Linked DNA regions of Rhinolophus ferrumequinum. The protein of the gene in region 2 interacts with the protein of the main gene of each other region in a pairwise test. Links are inferred from orthologs where the notes say so. Each region holds a gene or a part of one and is shown on either strand. Other genes may lie near its edges.

Region 1 (7,579 bases), on a different chromosome or scaffold from region 2:
AGTGGACATTTGTGATCCTTTGGCCGCAGTATCTGAACCCCTCTCCTATGTTCAGGGATTGTTCCCAGTTCACAAGGCTTGGTGGGAAGCAGAAGTCTTTCCCGCCATTCAAGCTATATACCAAGCACTCACTAGCATGATACCCAGGCTTGGCCATTTTGACATGTCTCCCAGGCTTTTAAGTGGGGCGCTAGTTTTTAGAAGAATCCAGTACAGGTTAGAACTGATCAGTGGTTCTGATAGAAATGATGAAAGCAATTCTAGGAACTATGGGGGCAGTAGCATCCAAAGGTCAGCAGCTGCAAGTTTCCTTACTGGATTGGTTCCGTGGAGTAATTCTGACCATGGTTTCAGTTCCATGGCCGTCTTTGTCCTATTTTCCAATGAGCCTGCCTGCTCATTGTGAGCTATTTAATATTCCGTGGCTAAATTCCTTTTCTGCTTAAATCTTCGATCTACAAACTCTGCTTCCTTGAGGTATAGTTTCCACACAACCCTCTTCCTTTATATATGAACTTCCAAGCTACTTATACATGTGAGCTCGTCATCATGTCTCTTTCTCTTTAAAGTGATAGAATACAGTGGTACCTTGATTTTCTAACATAATCCATTCCAGAAGACCGTTTGAGTTCTGAAACATTAAAAAACTGAGGTGCAGTTTCCCCATAGAAAGTAAATGCAAAATGGATTAATCCATTCCAGACCTTTAAAATCAACCCCTAAAACTACAAATTTAGCATGAATTTTACTACCTAATGATACTATGGATCCACAAAATTTACGGCATTTGTAAACCGAAATGTTCATTAACAGAGATGTTCGAAAACCAAGGTACCACTGTATTGATATTGGAAGAGAAGCTAAAGATCCTCTAATGCAAGGATCAGCAAAGTAATGAGAAGTTTCCCAGAGGAGCTGCTCCCATTTCCCCTTACATCTCACTGGGCAGCACTGGGTCACATGCTCACCCTGTAAACCAATCAGAGGACGAGGGGTTGCTGTGATTGGCAACCCTGGAGCAGTAGTTCAACTTTGGCTGAATATTAAAATCATCTGGGGAGCTTTTTAAAATGCCAATGCTGGGTCCCTACCCCCAGAGACCCAAGTTAATTGGTCTGGCTGGACTTCTGGCACTGGAATTTTTTTAAAAAATCCTCAGGTGCTTTTAATGCCATTCCTGTCTCTAGTTCAACCTCCCACCCCTCTCCATTTTACAGGTCCTAATATTGAGGTCCAAAGAGATACTAAGTAACTTGCCCAAAGAATTATACCTTCAAGTAAGAGCAAAAACAAACACAAACAAAACCACACACACACACACACAAATGGCATTTAATAAGACACGTTTGTTTTTCTGTAATATGCATGTGAGCACACATTCTTTTTCTTAGAAAGTGAAGTCATGGAGAGCTCAAGGACTGAGAAGCAGTAGGTAGGGCAGTGGTTCTCAAACTCGATTGCATCAGAATCCCCCGGAGTCCACACAGGTGGCTGGGCCCACCCCCAGAGTTTCAGATTCAATAGGTTTGGGGTTGGGGGAAAGAATAATGAACACTTCTAACAAGTTCCCAGGGGATGTTACTGCTGCTAGTCCAAGGACCACACTCGTATAGTGGCTAAGAGCGGAGGCTATAGAATCGTAGTATCTTGGTAAGATCTGTTTCTGCCCGACACCTTGTCAGAACACGGGCAAGTTACTTAACATGTCTATGAAACGGGGCCAATGATAGTAGCTTGGGCTTATCACAACAATCGTGTGAGTATAATAAACGTATGACACTTAGAACAGTGCCTGACCTATAGTAACTGTCTAATGAATATTAGCTGTTAGCATTCATTCATTCATTGAACAATTCCTTTGAGCCAGGCACTGTTCCTGGCATCAGGAATACAGTCGTGAATAAGTCAAAGCTTAGCCTCTCAATGAGCTTACAATCCACTGGGGAGACAGACAATAGATAACCTTGTAAATACCTAATATAATGTCACACAGAAGAATTCTGTATTCCAAGGAAACTGACGAGCAGGTGCACACAGTTTTATGAGAACTTGGTCCAGTCCTGTTTGCATCTATCAGCTCGAGGACTGGTGGCATCATGCTTCTAATGCAAAGGCTCCATAACAAGATGGCTTTTACTATGGTGGTTGAAGGAAGCCCAGGTTATGGCATTTTAGTCATGGTTCTCCACAGAAATAGAACCAATAAAAAAATGTGTGTGTGTGTGTGTGTGTGATTTATAGTTACACTTAGATTTATGTACATTTTCAAACATTCAAGTATTTCTATATTCTACATTCTACAATAAATATATATTAATATATAACACGTGTAACATATAACATATTGTATATTAATAATACAGTTATATAACTATTTTATATTTTTAATATTTTATATATTCATATTTATATTATATATGCCATAGGAATTGGCTAAAGTGAATATGGAGGGCAAGAAATCCCACAATCTGCTGTTTGCAAGCTGAAGACCAAGGAAAGCTGGTGATTTAATTTAGTCTGAGTTCGAAGACCTGAGAATCAAGAGCACAGGTGTTGGAGGACAAAAGATGGGTGTCCCGGCTCAAAAAGAAAGCAAATTCACGCTTCCTCTGCCTTTTTGTTTTATTCAGGCCCTGAGCAGGTTGGGCGACGCCCACCTGCGTTAGTGCAGGTGATCTTTATTTAGTCTACTGATTCAAATGCCAATCTCTTGCAAAAACACCCTTAGAGACAACCCCCAAAATAATATTTTACGAACTCCCTTAGCTCAGTCAAGTTGACACATAAAAATAATCCTCACAGGCATAGTCACACCAGCCAATTCTTTAAGTTTTGTTTGAGAGGAAACATTTGAAACAAGATGTCAGGCAGGGACTCAGCCCTCATTCCCCGCACAAGAACTCAGGATATGGTGAGGCCGAAAAGAAACAACGGAGCCACAGATAGAGGAGTCATACTACCATATTCTCGATGGCGGCTGGTCGAGACACAGGAAGTAAGATCAACACGATCTGCAATCCACAATCCACTGGCTAACCGCAATGACTAGCTTGCTACCCGCAATTGCTAGCCGTAATCCGCCATGTGCTTCTCTGCCAACCAACTAACCAACCTCCTAGCATAGCCATGGCAGTTATATTAGTGGCTAATGGCTAACTGGTTACAGTGGATAGCCAACTAGTCACAGCTGATGGCCATCTACTACCTGAGCCAGCACCTTTCCACGTGAGGATGAGAGCCTGGAAACTGCTCTCTGGGGCTCTGTCCCCACACAAGAACAGATGGGTGGCCAGCTAGTGTTATTAGGTTGGTGCAAAAGCAATTGCGGTTTAAAAGGTTAAAACCAATCGCACCAATAGAAGGGAAGTTATTCCATTGAATTCTCACGATCATTTGGGGGTAAATATTATTTTGGAGAAGGAGAGAAGCAACCTGCCCGAAGCTAAGTGGCAAAAGTGGCGTGTTAATGATCTGAACAACTAGTATTAGGATTGGCCTGGAGGAAGCAGAGGGTAGAGGCGCTGTCGTACCACGAGCCACATCTGACCCCCTGCTTCTGAACCCCCAGGCAGGCGCTAGGGTGAAGCCATACTGCCATCATGTAATTGCTCACTGTCCCTCTACTCTGCTCCTAACACAGGTGACAGTGACACAATAAAATGCAAGGAGCAGCTACTTCTGAATCAGAACACCCTGACTCCACGCCAGCCTCATCTCCTCTCAGTATTGGCTTTCTCAACGTGTAAAAAACAAACAAACAAACAAACACTTTATTATGGATGTAACAGACACTCTTTCCTGGGAAATACCAGCAACATTCTCCCTTCACCTCCGGAAAAACACTACAAATTTGATACCAATTCTCAGTGTCTTCAGTTCATAGGGACCCTGTCTTCTATGCCTATTAACTAGCCCTTTCCAGGTACACATATTAACCTAATTGGAAGTTTATTGTTTTGTTTTCACTCTGGACTTGTTTCTGGGGGTTGGCTCTCTAAATTCTGTTGGGTGAGGGACATGAATTTGGGAGACAGATTGGAGTTGTGTTTGTTTGGAGTTGTTTTTCAATTCAAAGTACTCACCTCCCTGTTTTGGAGCCAAAAGGTTTTTCAAGCCTCTTTTCGTTTGGCACTTATGTTTAAGAACTGGCGTGGCATTTGGGGTTATTTTTTAGGGCTGGCAGCTTTCTGGTCCTTTGAAGGGCGAGTGTTTGAACTTTGGTGATGGCAAAATTGGCTTTGGCCATGACACTTTAATTTGTAATGATGACTGGCGATTGCAGGGGTGGCCTTACCTCTCCCTACCCCCCATCTCACTGGGCTCAGGAAGCCTCTTGGCACGGAAGAGCGGGCAGCGCGGGCTAGAAGGGGGGAGCGGGAGGGAAGCGAGGCCCGCGCTTCACGGTAACCAGGCAACCGGCGCCTTAGCAACAGAAAGGGGCGGGACCGAGAGAGGAAGTCGGAAGGCTGCGACTAAACCTCGCGATAGTTGCTTTTGCGCGCGAACTCTAAGAGCCGGGGTCCCCGGGTTAAGTTGGGGCTTTTCGGCGTGCAGGCTCCTGGGGGACGCGACGACCCCCGCCGATCCGGACACCTTCAGCACCCCACCATGGAAGCCTCGGCGCACAAGCAGCAGCAGCAGCAGCAGCCCGCGGCGACCAAGATCAGGAACCTGCCCTGGTAGGAGGAGGCCTGGCTGCCGCGCAGAAGGGGTCGGCCGCTCGGGAAGGCAGTGGTCGGGGTGCGCAGGGCGCCGGGCCGCCCCCCGACCTGCGGTGGGAGGGAGCCACAGAGGTGCGCCTCCACACCTCCAGTCCCCCAATTCCCCTCCGTTCTATTTATGACGTTTGCCAGATCTCCCTGGTCCCCTCCGTCCCATTCCTTCTACGGAAGAAGAAAGCGGCTTTCGCACCTGGGTAACAGCACAGGGCTTTGATCCCGCGTCTTCTGACACTGCATTGGCCACGGAGCCCGAATGGCCTCTTCTCTCTTGCCGAAATCTTCGCTGTGATTGGTCAAATTCTAAAACATAATAATAACACTCCCTAGTTGACTTTTACTTAAATGGCTTTCTATTAGATTATCAGGCACTCTCGATGTTTGATCTTTACGAAGATCCTAGGAGGTAGGTATTCTTTATTATTCCAGTTTTACAGTTGGAATACAACCAAAAGGTTAAATGACTAGCCTAAGGGCCAGAGCTAGAAAATAAATTTGGATTTGAATCCAAGTGGGCTGAATTCACAGCCTGCATTTACTTCCACAGCTATGTCCTAATGATGTTTTAAAGGCTGATGGGAGTTCGCTTGATTTCAGAAATCTTGTTCTTGTCTAACAACGGGTTCCATTTGTTTTTATTATGTTAAAAATACGTACAATTTACACTTGTAACCATTTTAAAGTGTACAGTTCCGTGGCATTAAGTACATTCAGAACGCTGTGCAACCATGCCACTGTCTAGTTCCAAAATTTTTCATCACCCCTAATAGAAATCCCATACCCACTGGCACCCACTCCCCTCCCTCCCCCCAGCCCCTGGCAACCACTAATCTGCTTTCTGTCTCTGTGAATTTGCCTATTTTGTATATTTCATATAAATACAGTCAATATCTGGCTTTTTGTGACTGGCTTGTTTTCACTTACTGTGTTTTCATGGTTCATCCATGAATGTATCACACTCCATTTCTTTTTATGGCTGAATAATATTCCATTGTATGGCTATACCATCATTTATTTATCCATTCATATGTTGATGTATACTTGGGTAGGAATTCAGTTTTGAATTCACACTGAAATAATAGGAGCCCATCCAGGTTGAGATTACACGCAGACAGCTGGAAAGGTGAAAGTGGAGCGGAGTTTATCGACTTCAGCCTTATGGACATTTTGGGCCAGCTCTGTGGGGTGGGGAGTTGGGGGGCCTGTCCTGTGCAGTGTAGGAGGTTTAGCCACATCCCTGGTGCCTGCCCACTAGATGCCAGTAGCACCCTCCACCCAACTGTGACAACTGAAAATGTCTCCAGATAGCGCCAAATGTTCCTTGGGGGACAAAACCACCCCTGGTTGAGGACCCCAGGTCTGTATTCAAATTTAAAGGGTTTTGTGTCTCTTCCTCTTTGAGTTAGGATATGAAAGGATTCTTGGGCATATAACAAAACGTTCTTGCATTAATATATGTTGTAATCCATGCTGAATTGTATTTCAGGGTTGAAAAATACCGGCCACAGGCACTGAGTGACCTCATTTCTCATCAGGACATTTTGAGTACCAGTAAGCATCCATGTGTCATTTGCTGTTATCCTAGTTGAAGGACCTGTTACATTTCTTGGTGCTCTTGTCTCTGCTAAGTAATAAGTTGGAAGACTGATTGAGCTTCGTGGAATGTGGCTGTAAGAGTTGCATCCTTCGGATATTTTGATTCCTGCATCTGCCTCTGATTTGCATATAGGGTTGAAGTGCATTTAGCCCAACTCACGGGCCCAAGTGAATGAAGCGACTCTCAGAAACTGATGAGGTCTCTCTTTCTTCCTGATCCTCAGTTCAAAAATTCATCAGTGAAGACCGACTGCCACACCTGCTTCTCTACGGTCCTCCGGGCACAGGAAAGACGTCCACCATCCTGGCCTGTGCTAAACAGCTATACAAAGATAAAGAATTCGGCTCCATGGTCCTGGAGGTAAACAGGAGGGTTATTCTTACTCGACAAGGGACTCGAGTCTCTTAGTTGTGCTAGTTTCATTTCACTTTACAAGTAAGTTGTCCCCCTGGTGGTTGGGAAAGAAGCCGATGTAAAATAAGAATACTTCAATTCACTTTTTACTATAATTGGAATTTTGGTCTGGATGGGCAGTAGCTAGAGGGCAGTTGTAGGGCTAAGTGTTTTTCTGTGCTGTTGACGGCTTATACCCACACGCTCCATGGTCCCCCGCTGAGTGATCGCTCCGTTGCTGGATATGTCCCACGTGCCCCGTCAGATTGACTACAAGCTCTTTTGCCCTCGAGCTCCTGGTTAGGTTTGGCCAATAGGGGCCCTGAGAGTCTGGGGAAAGGAGAATGATGCCTGGTCCTGCTCTGGGGGCCCCCACAGGCTGACAGCGTCCCCCCTGCAGGACACATAACACTGCCTGCTCCAGGTGCCAACACCACGCCCCTGTTAACCCCATAAGACTTGTGGGTGGTAATGGGCCCCAATAGTCCCTGAGGTATTGCATAGCTCTCTTGGTTCCCCACACCCCATGAACACCTTTAAAAATAACTCTTCATGTAATTCTCTTCAAATTGCTGAATCTGAGCATGCCATCTATTTACTGCTGAAACTCAACCGATACACTTAGATTACACAATTCTAAATATTGTCTATTGCACGAAAAATGATGTTTAACTTATTTTGTTATATGTCTTAGAACGTTGCTGCCACTAATGTGCTTACCTCAGTGTATTAAGAACTTGGTAACTTCTGGGTTGCTCTAGGTTTGGTAGCTAAAATAAGCATCATTCTACTCATGCCAGAGGTGCTGTTTACTTGACTAGGCCAATTGATTATTCCTCCAGAATACATCAGTGATCGTCCTTGAAAGGGG
Region 2 (8,089 bases):
GACTGGAAATTAAAATACAAAGGCATGAAGGGACTTTGGGGGACTGACAAGAAACATGACACACTTTTTTTTTCTTTTTCCCCCCCAAATCAACTGCTTTTCCCAGCAGCAGAAATAATCAGCCAGGAATGGAAATAGAAAGTTTTTATTGTTCTCCAGCAAGAAAAACTATAAAGTTTTTAGAAATTATAGGAACAAAAAAAGTGTGACTCAAAGGAAAAAAAAAATCAGTGAAATTTAATTAAAGGGCATAAGACAGGATCGGATCATGTGGAACTATTTTACTGCGTGGGAGAACCTAATGTCATGAAAAGACCAACCCTCTGAATTAATAAACACATGCAGTGAGAATCAGAAGAAAAACTAGACGAGGTTGGGAATCGCCTAATGGCCCATCAGTGGGAGAAGTGAACATACGGCAACACACTGTTATCATAGGAAATTAGGCAACAGTTTAAAACAATGTTTAGTTTAGACCAAACTTTCTGAAAATGTAAACCTGATCACTGCTGCTTAAAACATACGAGTGATTCCCAGTTGTTTCATTGTTTCCAGCGGATTATCTCTAATTACACAGTTGTTCTGGAGAAGCAAAACAAGACAGCCTGGCATATACATAGATTCTTTGTCAAGTCTCTCATTTTCCTTTCAAAATTCGTGCAAATGGTGCATCTGACTGAACTTGTTTAAAGCAAATAAAAACATGTTCCCCGAATGGTTGCGTAAAACGGGCACTTCAGAGAAATGCTTCTAGTTTCCTGTGGCCTCTGCATGCTGTCCCCCACTCCTGCTTCTGTTTCCATATGGCTTTGCGCCGAGGAAGCACAGGAACCACAGACGGAGTCCGTGCCCCTGAGTATTACGTGTGACGCCTTTGTGACCTGCCCTTCCTGACTCCTCACCCAGATTTCTCACTGTTTTCTGAGCTGGAATTTTTTATCTGGGTGTTTTGGGTTTTCCTAAAAGTCAGACTGGGTTTTTTCTTTCTCTGAATACAAAATAAATAAATGCTCTTTGTACGTAATTTGAAACAATACAGAAAGACCTGAGGAAAGGTGCGCCTAAAATCTTGTTCCTCAGAGCTGATTACCTTGGGCCCATGCTTGCTGTCTCCCTGGTTTCCCCAAGGCTTTTTTGTGTTGCTTGGAACTGCATTTTAAGATCCGTATTCCAGAGCCACGCCAGGTTATACCCTAGTATTCCGGGTCTCGCCCTGTGACAGTCCAGACTCTGCCCTGTAGGCAGCTTCACGGAGGTCCCACTGCCGGGCTTAGCCCCGACTTGCCCCCACCTCCCAGGACTACTTCTTCCGAAGGTGCATAGCCCTGGACGTCACTTGGCACAGACAGGTCTGCAGCCTCTTTCAGCATGTGACAGACAGACCCTAAAGTGGCCTCTATGACTTTGTTACATCCATGCCTTGAGTGTGGGTGTGACTTGTGGTCTCCTTCTAACCAATGGAAAATGGCTAAGGTGATGGGATGTTGCCTCCCTGATTATATTGTATTGTTTTAGCCCCGTCTTCCTCACAGGTTTGCTCTCTCTGTCTCTCTTTTGCTGGCTCGGAGGGAGTGAGTGGCTGCAATAGGGAAACACCACGTGGGAGGGAACTGTGGGCAGCCTCTAGGAGCAGAGGCGACCACCCCCCCCCCCCACACACACACGGAATGTAAATGCAGTTCTGCAGCTGGGTTTTGCCAACAACACGAGGAAGCTTGGAGGTGGATATTTCCCTCATCATGCCTCTGACGACACTTCAGATACATCCAACACCTGGATTGCAGCCAGGTGAGACCCCCAAGCAGAGGCCCAGCTAAGCCACGCCCGAAAATTCAGACCTACAGACACTGGGCAAAACCACACATGCATTGTTTCAAGATGCTAAGTTGCTAGTCATTCATTTTGCAGCAATAGATAAATAACACACATGAGCCAGAGTCCATGCCAGACACACACTCAAACAGTGAGCCTGCCTCTGGCTCCATGTCCTTACACAGAGTAGTCATCATTTCTGTCTTCTTTCCCCTGCAGGTGTCATGTCCCCACACTCTGTGCAGAGCTCCTGGTCCTGGGGTCCATAGGCCTGTAGCCTCAGCTTTATGCAAAGCTTTGCGTCTCCCCTTACTTCCCAGCTTACGGAGATGTTTATATTGTTTTCAAGGTTTGCTAAGCTTCTTCCCTTCTCTATGTATCTTTTACCTAGTATGGCTTTGTGTTTGAAGTAGAGGAGAATGCCTTTTATATTCATCTTGGCCCAAGTCTCTTTAAAAAAAAACACCAAAAAACTGGTATTATTTATTTATGTATTTTTCTGTTTACAAAAGTAACAGATACTGTACTTATTCTGCCTTGAAACCGCCCTCAGAGTTTGAATTCTGAGTAACACGCACACTCACTCAGAAAGAGTGGGAGTCGGGACAAACCCACACATTTTTTCTCTTCCCTGTTCCCTCCCACCCCAGCCTGCAAGCGGCCCCACAGCCGACATGCTCAGTGGGGTGAACCTTCATCTCATGTCAGGGGAACTGTGGTCTCAAAATGCCATGCTATGAACACCCACACCCCGCGCTCTCTCTGTAGTCATGGTGGAGTAAATACAGTCAAAGCTTTCTGGCCAAAAGGATTTCAAAGGGAGGCCCGGAAACTGAAAGTGCCCGGGAGATCTTGAAGAAGGAGGGGCTTGGGAGGGTAGCCCCACGTGGATGCACAAGGACCCTGGGTCCCAGCCCAGGCAGTGCTGCGCGTATCCCACCGACACTGCACCTTAGAAGTGAGAAAGGAACGATGAACACACAATGACCACTGACTGGCCACTGGGTGGCACACGCGGGAGACAAATCTGAAGAGCACTGCAAAGCCTGGCAAACTGAAAGGACCCCCAGAAAGCTGATGCAAACACACAGCCTGGACCTAAAGACGTTGAGTGTTTGCTAAAGCAAAAAAATGCCAACATTCTCAAGAGTATTTACACAAGACCCAGAGTCTCATAAGGTAATAGTCAAATGATCAGGATACAAACCAAAAGAATGAAGCGTATGAAGAATCGGGAAAATGGCGACATCTCATGTGGGAAAAGGGGATCACAGATGCCACATGTACTTAGGTGACAATTTGTTAGAATTTTCTGACAAGACTTAAAGCAGCTATTTAAAAAAAAATGCTCCAACAATTGCAAATGTTCTTGAAATGACTAAAGATATATAAATCCTAGTAAAGAAATACAAGATGTAAAGAAAATGGAAATTTTAGAATTGAAAAAAAAAGAAATAAAACAATGCAGTGGTTCCTAACTTATTTAACATGTTACTATTGTTAGCAGGCAATTTGCGTCCAGTGTTTTTCTATCATAAATACACGCCTACAAACACTTACATCTTTTTTAAGGAGACTCCGTTGAACCACTGGCTGTGGGTCTCCAGTTTTCCTGCATCCCAGACTCACAGGGCCAAGCCCAGCCTCACTGATAGGAGGGGAGGCATTTCCTACTGGGGTAGGGGGTGGGGTGGGGGTGGGCAGCTCCTACTGGTCTCTCCCTGGGCCCACCTTCGGGGAACATACCTCTGGAGGCCTATTGCAGCCCCTGTCACCTTGTATGACCTGCAGCTGTCTGCATGGGCCGGTTTCTCCTTCACGCCACGGGACACAGGGGCAAGGTGGGCAGCTGGCACAGCACGCAGCCCATCGTAATGGTGCTGCTTTGTTGCTAGTGGTCGTTTGTTTTCCTCTTGGCTTTCACTTGCTTCCTTTCCCTCATCCTTGGACAGCACAAATTTGAGATGTGCTGTGCCTGGGTCCAGTGTCACAGCCACAGAAATGAAGGGCATGGGAATCACAAGGAGCCCTCACCATCTCAGGGAGTTGGTGGCTGTGTCCTCTGCCTGCATGCTGGCTGCTTCAGGCCTGCCCTGTGCGGGGTCTGCCACAGGATGTGCCAGGGCACAGGAGGCACTGGCTGGCACCGTGGCTGAGCCTCTGTGAGCTCCCTGGAGAGGGCAGTGCTGACGAGGTGCCTGCGTGCGGTGGAAAGAGAGGGTCTGTTTTCACAATTTTGCTTCCAGCCTGAGCAGCCTGGCCAAAGTCCCGCCAGGCCCCGTCTGTGCTGCCCAGGGCACAGCTTCCCACAGGACCGTCAGGGTCAGCACCTGACCGGCCAAGCGCGGGGCCCAGCATTGGTCCCCGGCAGCTGGTAGGGTCCACGCCTGACTTCTGCCGGGAGTTGAGCCTCCCTGACTGGCCCCTCGGGACACTGCAGAAATTATTTCCTGTGCGAACATCTGTTGTGTGTGCGTTTATTGTAAGTGCGTCTAATACCTGCAGCTATGCGTATGGCAAGCTCTTCCTCTGAGGTGGTGCCCTGGTTTTCCCTTGTCAGTCACAGCTCTGAATGGGGCAGGGACAGTCCTTTGGCTCCCGTGTGAACAGGAGGGGCTGCAGCTGAGTTGGAGTTCCTGCCCCGAAGCCCACAGCCTTTTCTGCACCAGACGCAGAGCACAGTGATGGCCCTGGGGTCACAGGGCCCTTCATTACAGCTGGGTCATCATGGCTCCTGGCGGCTTGCTGACTATTGCTGGGTGTCCTGGTAAGTATCTGAATCCTGCAGAGGGACATGGGGGTGGGGTGAGTCATGACACAGTGAGAGGACCAGAAGGACAGACACAGGCTGGAGCCATTCCTGTCACCTCAGTAGGTCCTACCAACCCTATCTTACTACCCTCTTAAGAGTGGTTATAAAAAAGTAAGCGACCTAAAACTAGCAAACTAGATATTTGCCGGAAGTCTGATGGATCACGATGGGGATGGTGACAAAAGCAGAAAAGTCTTCAGTCCAACTCTGTGAGCTGCACAGACTTCCTGACCCCCGACGTGTGCTGGGTCACAAAGCAGCTCAGGGTGACCAATCCGTCCCTTTCTCATTGCTGTAAAAGAGGATATTTTCCCAGCCCTGTGCCCCGCCCCCATCAGGGCTAGCTGAGTACAAAACAGTGGGCCAGTTCACTAGTTTCCGCCCCACCCCACAGGCCCCGCCCCCAGAATTTTCTTTCTGTTTGCTCCAGTCTGAGTTAACTTCCTCAACTGCCTGGTCCGGACTGGCAGCTCCCAGGGACCCCAGCTGCAGTGTCTAGGTACTGGGAAGGGTCCAGGCCAGGGTTTGTGGGGGGGACACCACAGCTGGGTGTGGAGGGGGGTGGCAGGGAGGGTGTGTGCCAGAGCTGTAGAGCCAGGACGTGGCCTGGGCAGTCATCAGCCCCTGTCACCCTGTCTGCTTTCACTTTCCCCAGGCCCCATGCAGACAGTCTCGGGGCATCCAGGATGTGAGGTGAGCACAGGCTGAGCAGGGCGCCCTGGGGCCTCGGGAGGGGCACAGCCCCCCTGCCACTGAGCAGCCTCTGTCCCTGGGAATCACCTGCCATGGAGCAGCCTTCAGGCGACCTTCTCTGGTCCCGAGCCACAGGCCCTACTTGTTAGAGGAAACAGGGTCTCCAGTAACTGGTGTTGAATGCTTATTTCTGATTCCACCAGTCAGTTCAAAGAGGCCAGTCTCTAACCGGCCTGGTGTGGGCAGGGGGGCAGGGCTGGGGTCCCTGGCACACCCTTGATATGGTCCCCCCTCTGCCGCCCATTTGGCAGGTGCCAGAGACCCTGTCACCGCCTCATCCTCAGCTCTCTTTCCCCCTCAATCAGGGACAATCACAGAGACAACAAACGCATCCATCTGGTGGCCCTTTCTACCTCTGCTGTCACCCTGCTGGGGTCCCCACGAGACTATTAACCTGGTGCCTGTGTTCTTTGTGGGGTGGGGGTGGGGGTACAAGCGATGTGATCCTCTGATGGAACCCTCCATGACCACCGGCTGTAACTAATTATTCTTATTGTTGAGCAGGATAGGAAGGGTTCACACGCCCTCGGTGAGCTCTCTCTCTCTCTCTGTCTCTCTCTCTGTCTCTCTCTCGGCACTTGGTTCAAGAAAACTTTCAGCCATGATGGAAGGTTCTATGTCTGGGCTGCAGTGTAGCCATCGGGATGTGACCAGTGCAACTGAGAAGCTGAACTTTGAGTCCGATGTAGTTTTACTGAGTTGAGTGGCCACACGATGGCCACGGCCCAGCCCCAGGTCATGCCCTTCTGAGTCCCACTCCATCTCTTTGTCCAGAGAGAAGACCTTGGGACCTGGGGTCAGTGGCACCGCAGCCCAAGTGACACATGCGTCCGTCACTGTGGGGGTTCTGGCTGCTCCCTCTCCGCCCCTGGATCTGATCCTGGAGGTTTTCGGGAGAAGCCATGGCCTCAGCCCCAGCCAGCGAGAGGATAAGGGAGGAAGCCACCTGCTCCATCTGCCTGAACCTGATGGCCGAGCCGCTGAGCATCAGCTGTGGACACAGCTACTGCCAGCTGTGCATAGAGGACTTCCTGGACAAACATGGCCACCAGCAGCAACCTCTAGGCACGTACCTCTGTCCCCAGTGCCGGGCTCCATTCCGCAGGACGAGCCTGCGGCCCAACAAGCAGCTGGGGAACCTCATTGAGGCCATGAAGGAGCTGAACCTCGAGATAACGTGCAAAAAGCACGGGGAGCAGCTCCACCTGTTCTGCGAGGATGAGGGCTGGCTCATCTGCTGGCGCTGTGAGCGGTCACCGGAGCACAAGGGGCACGTCACCGTGCTCGTGGAAGACGCTTGCCTGGGCTACAAGGTTAGTGTGTGGGTCTGGGACGGGGCTTCGGCGGGTCCCCACTCTCATTGCTCCCCAGACCTGAGGTCATCCAGCCGGACACCAAGGTTGCATCCCGAAGGATGACTTTCCCCATCTACTTCTTCTAGAAAATGGCTCAGGATGGGTTCTCCGGGGGTCACGTCCCCACAGCCCATCCTGACCTTGTGTGACCTTGTGTGAGACGGTCAGACTCGTCTTGCAGAGAGGACCTTCTCCCAGCACTAGAACAATGTCCCCAAACCCATACCCACGCACTCCATTGCCCTCACACTGTGTGTGAGATTTGAGGCACCGCTGGGGACAAACATACCATCTTTCAGGCATCCCACAGACAAACCAGGGAAGACAGACCAGCAGAAGGACTTCCCGGAGGCCCCTGGTTTGTGATGGGGATGACTCCTGAAGGGCACATAAAACTTCCCTGTATACAGAAGTGTGGAGGGAAGCGAGGGCGTGCCAGGCCGAGCGGATCACAGGGAAAAGTACAGCCGTGGGAGCTGGGCTGACTGTCGTACCTGAGAGGCAGGTACCAGCTCAGGTCCACATCCAAGTGCAGGGTGGTCCTGGCCTCGGGCACTTGCATATGCAGAATGAAGGTAGACACTGAAAAGAGCTTTCTCACAGTGACAAAACAGAAGGAATGTCAAGGAGTAAAATTCTGATCATTCCTATAAGAAGGGAGGAGAGGACGGTTGTCAGCAAGATTCAGGAAGGGGGCCGAAGGACGTGGAAATGGCTGTGGAGGAAGCTGACCCTGGCTGTGGGGACATAGGGAGAGGACACGTCCTGCTGCTTTACCCCTTCTCTGCCCTGCCTAGATTTGAGGAAAATGTCCCGGGGGGGTAGGGGGGTGGTTCCTGTTCCATCCCCCACGAGGCCGAGGTGAGCTTGTATCACGTCCTGGGCTGTCCATCAGGACATGTCCCTGGGCAGCCCTTCCTCAAACTCCATGGGCAGCTCATTACAGGAATGGAGACATTTCCCACCAGGTAGCTTGAAAAGGGACACCACAGGGTGACGGTTCTGAGCCTTGGACTCGGATTGTGGGTTTGAAACCTTAGCTCTGCCACTGACTCGATGGGTGACTCTGGCCAGTTATTTAATGTCTGCATGTCCCCATTTGTAAATGGGGACAACAGCAGCCCCCCTCACCACACACATGCCTAGGAAGCTGTCACAAGCTTTAAGTACAGTCACCTAAGCAAAGCCTGGAATAGCACTCAGCACCCAGCAGGTACACCCAGCCCTTACCTAACAAGCACCAGGGCCCTTTCTCGCCAACACGGGCACATGGTGAGTGTGCTGTCGGGTGACAGAGGACAGGACCTCCTTCTTTCAGTTTGGACCTGTTTCAAGCTGCTTTCCATGCGAACGTGAG

Evidence for each region.
Region 1: the proteins of TRIM38 (region 2) and RFC5 interact in binary tests that used the Homo sapiens proteins (3 or more experiments, as listed by UniProt). The link is inferred for Rhinolophus ferrumequinum from reciprocal best matches to the Homo sapiens genes TRIM38 and RFC5.

Annotation. Positions count from the first base shown.
Region 1 is NC_046308.1:11,466,376-11,473,954, forward strand, and holds the start of RFC5 (replication factor C subunit 5), read left to right. Parts: upstream 1-4,477; 5' UTR 4,478-4,608; coding exon 4,609-4,679; intron 4,680-6,204; coding exon 6,205-6,269; intron 6,270-6,538; coding exon 6,539-6,675; intron 6,676-7,579. UniProt on the Homo sapiens protein: Subunit of the replication factor C (RFC) complex which acts during elongation of primed DNA templates by DNA polymerases delta and epsilon, and is necessary for ATP-dependent loading of proliferating cell nuclear antigen (PCNA) onto primed DNA.
Region 2 is NC_046305.1:1,629,407-1,637,495, forward strand, and holds the start of TRIM38 (E3 ubiquitin-protein ligase TRIM38), read left to right. Parts: upstream 1-5,012; 5' UTR 5,013-5,123; intron 5,124-6,151; 5' UTR 6,152-6,279; coding exon 6,280-6,690; intron 6,691-8,089. UniProt on the Homo sapiens protein: E3 ubiquitin-protein and E3 SUMO-protein ligase that acts as a regulator of innate immunity. Acts as a negative regulator of type I interferon IFN-beta production by catalyzing 'Lys-48'-linked polyubiquitination of AZI2/NAP1, leading to its degradation.